2 linked regions of the Danio rerio genome follow. The protein of the gene in region 2 interacts with the protein of the main gene of each other region in a pairwise test. Links are inferred from orthologs where the notes say so. Each region holds a gene or a part of one and is shown on either strand. Other genes may lie near its edges. The genes, in order: prrc1 and sec23b.

The links.
Region 1: the proteins of sec23b (region 2) and prrc1 interact in binary tests that used the Homo sapiens proteins (3 or more experiments, as listed by UniProt). The two-hybrid records come from large-scale screens. The link is inferred for Danio rerio from reciprocal best matches to the Homo sapiens genes SEC23B and PRRC1.

Annotation. Positions count from the first base shown.
Region 1 is NC_133185.1:18,457,020-18,460,850, reverse strand, and holds part of prrc1 (protein PRRC1), read right to left. Parts: intron 2,548-3,831; coding exon 2,405-2,547; intron 2,327-2,404; coding exon 2,224-2,326; intron 737-2,223; coding exon 573-736; intron 161-572; coding exon 57-160; intron 1-56. UniProt on the Homo sapiens protein: May act as a regulator of the protein kinase A (PKA) activity during embryonic development.
Region 2 is NC_133181.1:7,710,390-7,715,011, reverse strand, and holds the start of sec23b (protein transport protein Sec23B), read right to left. Parts: upstream 3,067-4,622; 5' UTR 2,978-3,066; coding exon of another isoform or gene 2,747-2,977; 5' UTR 2,319-2,746; coding exon 2,315-2,318; intron 1-2,314. Other genes in the region: ccdc85al (coiled-coil domain containing 85A, like), read left to right, coding at 2,747-2,977. UniProt on the Homo sapiens protein: Component of the coat protein complex II (COPII) which promotes the formation of transport vesicles from the endoplasmic reticulum (ER).

The sequences.
Region 1 (3,831 bases), on a different chromosome or scaffold from region 2:
AGTGATGTTTTTACATTTGTGCATTTCAAGTTTTGTCTCAAATTGACTTTTCTTACTTGTCTGGAAAGAGTTCAGCGATGAAGTTTTCCACAGAGACCACAGGCTGCTTCTCATGAATAACAGCAGCACGGCGAAGACTGTCAATGCGCTCCTGAGCTCCCTAAGACACCCATGCAAACTTCAGATTAATATATGTGCTTATATATCATTAGTTGCATGACTAAGTTTCCTACAGTTGTAAACATTTAGACGTTGATAGACACTTTAAGAGGAGAATCTTCCCAAAACTGAAAATTCAGTTATCACTTTGTCACAAACCTGTTTGATTTTCTTTCTTTGGCTGAAAGCAAAAGAAGACATTTCCAAGAAAGCTGGAAACATGAAACCATTGACTTCTATAGTATTTTTTTTCCTACTATGGAGATAAGCGGTTACAGGATTTTGGCTTTCTTCAAAATAACTTTTTTTCATGTTTAACAGGATAAAGAAACCTATAAAGGTTTGGGACCACTTTAGGGTGAGTACATTTTAAGATTTGGGTGAATTATCCTTTAAAAAAGAAGAATATTTACCTTGACCCCTGCAGCATATCCCACTGGCTGTGGGGCAATGTTGGACTGACCGGCTTCTCCTGTCACCATGGCCAAACCAAACACCTCCTGAAATGCATCCCGTACCGCTGCCACCTTCACTTCCTTATCTGACGTCACAACAATGTCCACATCTCCTCCAGATTCTTACAAACACAAACCATTAAATAATGACATATAAACAAGAAGTGCATTTTCAACATCCTGTTCCTACAGCATTTCTCAACTTAGCGATGTAAACATACTCCGAACAGAAGAACCATAGAAATGAAATGCTTTAAGTTTTGTTTTGTTTTTTGCAAATATAGCGGTGGACAGATTTTTGAGATCAAATAAAAAAAAGTGGGGAGCCATTATCGGCATTAACATGCTGCGTTAACGTGAGACTCTTATTGCACGATTGAAAAAATATATATCGCCGTTAATCTATTCTCAAAGTTGGGTTGAGCGCTGGATCTATTCTATGCAAGGTATGATGACTTTCACCTTGATATTTTAGCGCGGATGTATACGTAACCAGTGAGCCATCTGACAAAAAAAAAGTGCACTTCTGAATCAAATCAGCAAGATGCCCTTCTGGATCTTACTTCGAAGACACTACTTACTACATTTACATAGACATCAGTAATGTAGTCTTTTGCCCTAATAGCCAATAATATAATTAAGGGTTTTACATGAAGTGCTTTCATGTAAAAGTTTCCTGTAATTTTGGGTGACTTTAACTGCAGTTTGGCAGTTTCACCTTCACTCACGAACATTTCATTCATGCCCCCGTGACAAACTGGGGTATTAGACGCAAATAAGGAGTAAGGACTGGTGAGAGACTTATGGAAATTAATAACACATGGCGAATGGAAAGAAAAAAAACTTCCGCATTTTGCTTTGTGTGTGTGTGTGTGTGTGTGTGTGTGTGTGTGTGTGTGTGTGTGTGTGTGTGTGTGTGTGTGTGTGTGTGTGTGTGGTCCTTTACTGACAGCCATGTGTGTGGATCTTGTCGGAAAATTTGGCTAAAAGTCCAACATGACGGTAATCGTTTGATCGTGGTGTTTACTTCAATAATGCCACTAATATATGCATACTCCACATCTTAGTTCCATTTCTGTTTGGTTCAGTTATGACTTTAGTCGGATTTAGGTAATCAAAAATAACGGTTTCGAGCTTATGTAGACCTACAGTTCAAAATTGATGTTTAACCGAATAAACAGTTTGTAAACACAAGTACATCTTATTGAACATCATTTATTTTCATCACCAATTATCATAGTAGAACAGTCTCTCAAGCAGTTTGTGATGCATTTTGGAAACAGGAGATGAGCCCCTGGTCTAATGCGCCACCTGGCTTGAGAAACCCATTCTCAAAGACTTACTTTTAGTCAATATTTGGGTAGCACACATAATCTGAATGCCTTCGTCAGAATTCAAATGAACAATTTTAATCTGGATTAATTCCTAGATTACAGTGCGATTAATCTAGATTAAAAAATACATCTATGCCCACATATAATAAAAACTTAAGTAAAATTCACATAAAATCAAACTGAATTTGTCATTAAACCATCTTCGTAAATAAAATAAAATAAAATTCTCTTTTTATCAACAATATAAATCTAAACACCAACATATCATTACTCACTGATATAAGGTGCCATCCCAGGATCCAACGTGGTGATCATGGACTCCACAGAGTGTTTGGTTTTATCCAAGACGGTCTTGACCATTGGGTTTCCAGCAACACCCTGTGATTAAAACACATCTGGATCAGGACATGTTAAGCACACGTATACCTAGCCTTAAGTATACACGTGTGCAGTTACCTTGATGAAGCCCCATAATCCACCAGGTGCGTTGCTGTCCGGAGTGACTCTGGGATCTTCAACATCCTCAGGAAATGTAATGGGTGAGCTGACATCTAACCCTCCAGACACTGGCTGCTGCATCATGGGATTAGTAACAATCCCTGTAAAAACATTTTCTCATCAGCATTGATAATATGGGGAGAAGCAGTGGCGCAGTAGGTAGTGCTGTCGCCTCACAGCAAGAAGGTCGCTGGTTCGAGCCTCGGCTCAGTTACCATTTCTGTGTGGAGTTTGCATGTTCTGCCTGTGTTCGCCTGGGTTTCCTCCGGGTGCTCCGGTTTCCCCCACAGTGCAAAGACATGCGGTACAGGTGAATTGGGTAGGCTGAATTGTCCGTAGTGTACGAGTGTGTGTGAGAACGTGTGAGTGGATGTTTCCCAGAGATGGGTTGTGGCCGGAAGGGCATCCGCTGTGTAAAAACTTGCTGGATAAGTTGGCGGTTCATTCCGCTGTGGTGACCCCGAATTAATAAAGGGATTAATCTGACAAGAAAATGAATTAATGAATGAATGATTGATAATATGATATTTAATTCCTATAATGAAGCTAAGGGGTTAGATCTGGGCCCGAAATCATCCGTCATGTCCTTATGTAGTGTAATATTTTAAAATAATTTAGAAGTGGCAGTCTTTAGTGATTATCTAGTATATCCGTTTAACCTCAAAATGTTCAATTATGTATCAACAAGTTTACATCCCGTGTTCACTCAACAGCTAAAAAATAATGCAGGTTAGCTTACTCATTTCTGCTTTCTTCCCACTTAATAACTGAAAGTCTGTTGTAGTCTATAAAGGATGAGGAAGGTCTCAGATTTCATCAAAAATAACTTAACCTATTTAAGCGCACCGGCACTATAGTTGCCGAAGTTCATAGTTGCCCTTTTCCTTTTATAAGTAATTATCTACAAGTTGTATGTTTAATTTCTCAATGTCAAGCAAGAAAACAACCAAATAAAAGATTTTAAGAAAAAAAAAATAATTGATTTAATTTCTGTCACATAACTTCCTACAACTTCCTACCCCTTATTCCAGGAGGCAAAATGGATGCAAGCCCTCCCAAATAAAGCCAATTTTCATCATACTAAAATGTTTTTTTGTTCACAAATGTACAGTTGAAGTCAGAATTATTAGCCCCCCTGAATTATTGGCACCCCTGTTTATTTTTTCCCCAATTTCTGTTTAATGAAGGGAAGATTTTTTCAGCACATTTCTAAGCATAATAGTTTTAAAAACTTATTTCTAATAACTGATTTATTTTATCTCTGCCATGATGACAGTAAATAATATTTTACTTAATATTTTTCAAGACACTTCTATACAGCTTAAAGTGACATTTAAAGGTTTAACTAGCTTAAAGGGGCTAATAATTTTGTCTCAAAAATTGTT
Region 2 (4,622 bases):
ATGACTTTAAATGTTAAGTTTTACAGATCATTGTAGCCTATACACTTTGTACAGCTGCATTTTGTTTTGTATTTTGTAATTTATGGTTTCATCCAGGATCAAAAATGAGTAATTATCCTACTCTAAAATCTAGAAAAAGAAGAAGAAAAAAATGATTTAGCCCACATCAAAATATAGCTAATGAGAGCTGTAGACTTGTTACCAATTCATAACTCCTTAATTTTAGCACACACCCACATGGTTCTTTAAAAGACTATGGTAATTTGTAGTAAATAGTGCTTTTGAACTTATATTAGTATTTTTTTCGTTTGTAGAAGGCTAGTATCAGGCTTCTAAACTTCTAAAAAATGACTATGGTAATTTGTAGTAAATTACCATAGTGTTTTTGAACCATAGAAAAGTTTATTATACTGCATATATTAGTATTTAAGCAGTTGTTATTTGTGGAATGTAAGTATCTTATGCTTCTAAATATCTAAAAATTACTATGATAAATAAATAGTCTACTATTAGAATCATAGAAACGTGTATCTGCATATATAAGCATTTAAGCCTCTTTTTTCATTTGTAGAATGCTATCATAATAGTAAATAGCTAGTATAGTGTTTTTGAACAACAGAAAAGTTTAATATACTGCATATATTAGTATTTTTTTTCTTTTGTAGGAGGCTAGTATCATATATAAACTTCTAAAAAACGACTATGGTAATTTGTAGTCAATATATTGCTTTTAAACCATAGAAAAGTTTATTATACTGTATATATAATAGAAAGTTTATTATACCATATATATATATATATATATATATATATATATATATACACACACACACACACACACACACACACTAGATATATAGCTAGTATCATATGTTTTTAAAATGACAACGGTAATTTGTAGTAAATAGCCTACTATAGTGTTTTAAACCATATAAATGTTTATTAAATATATTAGTATTTAAGCAGTTTAATAGGCTAGTGTTATATGCTTCTATGAATGACTATGGCAATTTGTAGTAAGTAGCTACTATAGTGTTTTTGAACAATAGAAAAGTTTATTATACTGTATATATTAGCATTTAAGAATTTTTTCCCCATTAGTAGAACACTAGTATCATATGCTTCTGAAAAATGACAATGGCAATTGGTAGTAAAAAGCTATAGTGTTTTTGAACCATATAAATGTTTATTAAACTGCATATATCAGTATTTAAGAAAATTTTTTTTCATTTGCAGAAGGCGAATATCACATGCTTCTAATATGATAATTTGTAGGAAATAGCTATAGTGTTCTAACCAATAGAAGAGTTTATTATACTGCATATATCAATATTTAGGAGGATCTTTTTTCATTTGTAGAATGCTATCATGCTTCTTAACTTCTAAAAATTGACTAATTTGTAGTAAATATAGTGCTTTTAAACCATAGAAAAGTTTATTATACTGCATATATCAGTAATGTTTTTTTCTTTAGAAATAGTAAATGATAGTAAATCATTAGTAGAGAGCTTATATCTATGCTTCTAATAAACTTGTATTGTAATTGGTAGTAAATAGATTATTATAGTGTTTTTGAACCAAAAACGTTTATTATACTGCCTATATTAGTTAGCGTTTTTTTTTATTTGTAGAATGTTAGTATCTTATGGTTCTAAACATCAAAAAATGACTATGATAATTCTATGGACTCTATGGACGTCTGTTTGAATAGGGTTGGAGCTAAACTATGCAGGGCACTGGCACTCCAGGATCAAGTTTGCCCACACCTGGGCTAGTATCACATACTTCTAAACTTCTATAAATGACTATGGTAATTTGTAGTAAATAGCCTATTATAGTGTTTTTGAACCATAGAAAAGTTCATTACACTGCATATATTAGTATTTAAGCCTCTTTTTTCATTTGTAGAAGGCTAGTATCATATACTACTAAACTTCTAATAATGACTATAGTAATTTGTAGTAAATAGCGTTGTGTTTTTGAAATAGAATAGTTTATTAAACTGCATATAAAGAGACTAAGCCGAAAAGAAAATGAATGAATGAATGAATGAATGAATGAATGAATGAATATTAGCCTACCTAGTATTTAGACATTTTTTTCTGGTGTAGAAGACTGTGTTAACGAGTCAATAGATGGCGCTAGATACAAACTTAAATGGAACTTGAACAACAGCATCACCTCTCGGCCACTCGCGCACACAAACATGCACGACACACACAAACGGAGATAGAGAGAGAGAGAGAGAGAGAGAGAGAGAGAGAGAGAGAGAGAGAGAGAGAGAGAGAGAGAGAGAGAGAGAGAATGAATTTACCCATTCGCTGCAGTCACGCTCATTTCTCCGGAGCTCGGGCTGAGGATGCTGCCGTCTCTCCTCCATATCCACGAGGATGCAGGAGCGCGCAGAGGCGGACGGGGGCGAGCGCACCGGGCCGCCTAAACCCACCCACATCTCACCGGCGATCATACACCGTCACTTTTCCAAACTTACAAGAACTATGCACGGGAGCCGGTGCTGAACAAATTGGGCGGACTCGCTCTATATGCCGGCCTTCCTTCTGCTCATCAGCTGTTGCTGCTTTGGGAAAAGTCGAGGCGACTCCCACTGTAAGGGCATCGGATACGAGCATCTCTACACGATGCGTCCTCAGTCTCCCTGACTCCTCCTGACACTGCCTGCCTGCCTCATTAATATTTGATCTGGTACCACAGCAGCAGAAGCAGCAGCAGCAGCTCGCCTCTTCTAATGGAGAATTCTCCACAAGCACAGCCTGGATCCAAGGCGCCGGAAAGTCCAGCAGAAGACATCGCCAACCTCACGGACGAAGAGCTCCTCCAATGGAGCAAAGAGGAGCTGGTGCAGCGGCTCCGGAGGTGTGAAGCCGATAAAATGAGCGTCATTCTGGATCACAGTAATCTGATTCGGGAGGTGAACCGCAGCCTGCAGCTGCATCTGAACGAGATCCGGGGGCTGAAGGTGAGCAGATGAGATCATGGGCGTCTGGAGCACACCTGCGCTCTCCGAGGAGGCGCCACAAGCTCTTGGGTGCACATTATTCATCCTGTAGGAATAACGCCTACTACTGTTGTCTTATGTGCCTGTTTTTTTATTTAAAGCTTCCAAACTTGGCAAGAAGCACACACATTAGTGGCATTGTTTTGATACCAGAACCACATTTTCGTTTTTTTTTATTTATTTTTTTTATATATTGCAGTGTTAAGACACCTGTTGTGTATGAATGTGACCTTTTTCTAATTTTAATATTGAATGTTGCAGAATATTTTTACTCTAAATGATCTAGGAAGACATTATCACAAATGTATTTTTAAACCAGCTGATATTTTTGTCTGTAAAATGCAAATTTGGATTTTTCACATATTTATTTACCTTAAAGGGATAGTTCACCCAAATATTACAATCTACTTACTATTTACTCATCTTTGAGTGGTTTCAAACCATGCATCCATACCAAACCATCATGAGTTTCTTTATTCTGTTGAACACAAAAGAATATATTTTGAAGAAAGCTGAAAACCGTTAACCAATGACTTCCATAGTAGCAAAAACAAATACTATAGAAGTCAAGGGTTACAGGTTTTCAAAATTTTTCTTTTGTGTTCAGAGGTAGAAACATTTGAGTGAACAAGTGAACAATAAATAAATAATGTCAGAATTGACATTTTTGGGAGAACTATCCCTTTAAGAACATGTTTTTAGAAAAAAGATAAGATATTTTAAGTTTTATAATAATAGTCCATACATCTTTCACAATACATCAGTCATACAATATAAGTTGTCATTTGCTACAAATATTTCAATGCTCTGAATGTTTAATCACATAGCAAAATTTCTCTGGCCCAGATTTGGCCCACACAATCAGAATTACAGTGCATGACTGGACCAATTCTGGCTATCAGACAAGGGCCAAACATGGACCATATCTGGGTCAAGTCTTAGCCAAATTAATGAACTGGGCCAAATACACAACTAGTTTAAACTACTTAATTAAAATGAGCTGAAACAACACAATTTTTGAGATTTCATTTGGGACAACTTAATTTTTTTTATGTTCAATCCACATAATTTTATTAGAAGTGTCAAGTTAACTTAATCGATTTGTGTTAGGACAACACGAATGAATTGTGTGGAACCCTGCATTTTTTACAGTGTATGTTGGTGTGTCACGACTGCAATGAAATTCATAAACCCAGGAAGCATTGCGCTTTGGGCACGTTTTGAATGTTTTTTTTTTTGGAAGTGAACTGATTGGTAGATTTTTTCTTTACCCAAATCATTTAAATGTATTTAAAATGTGGGTCGAAAAAGACTAAACCTATGTGACCCACATTCATTCATTCATTCATTCATTCATTCATTCATTCATTCATTCATTCATTCTTTAGTTCGTTCCTTCCTTCCTTCCTTCCTTCCTTCCTTCCTTCCTTCATTCATTCATTCGTTCATTTGTTCATTCATTCATTCATTTTCTTTTCGGCTCAGTGCCTTTATTAATCTGGGGTCGCCACAGCATAATAAACCGCCAACTTATCCAGCATATGTTTTACGCAGCGGATGCCCTTCCAGCTGCAACCCATCACTGGAAAACATCCATACACACTCA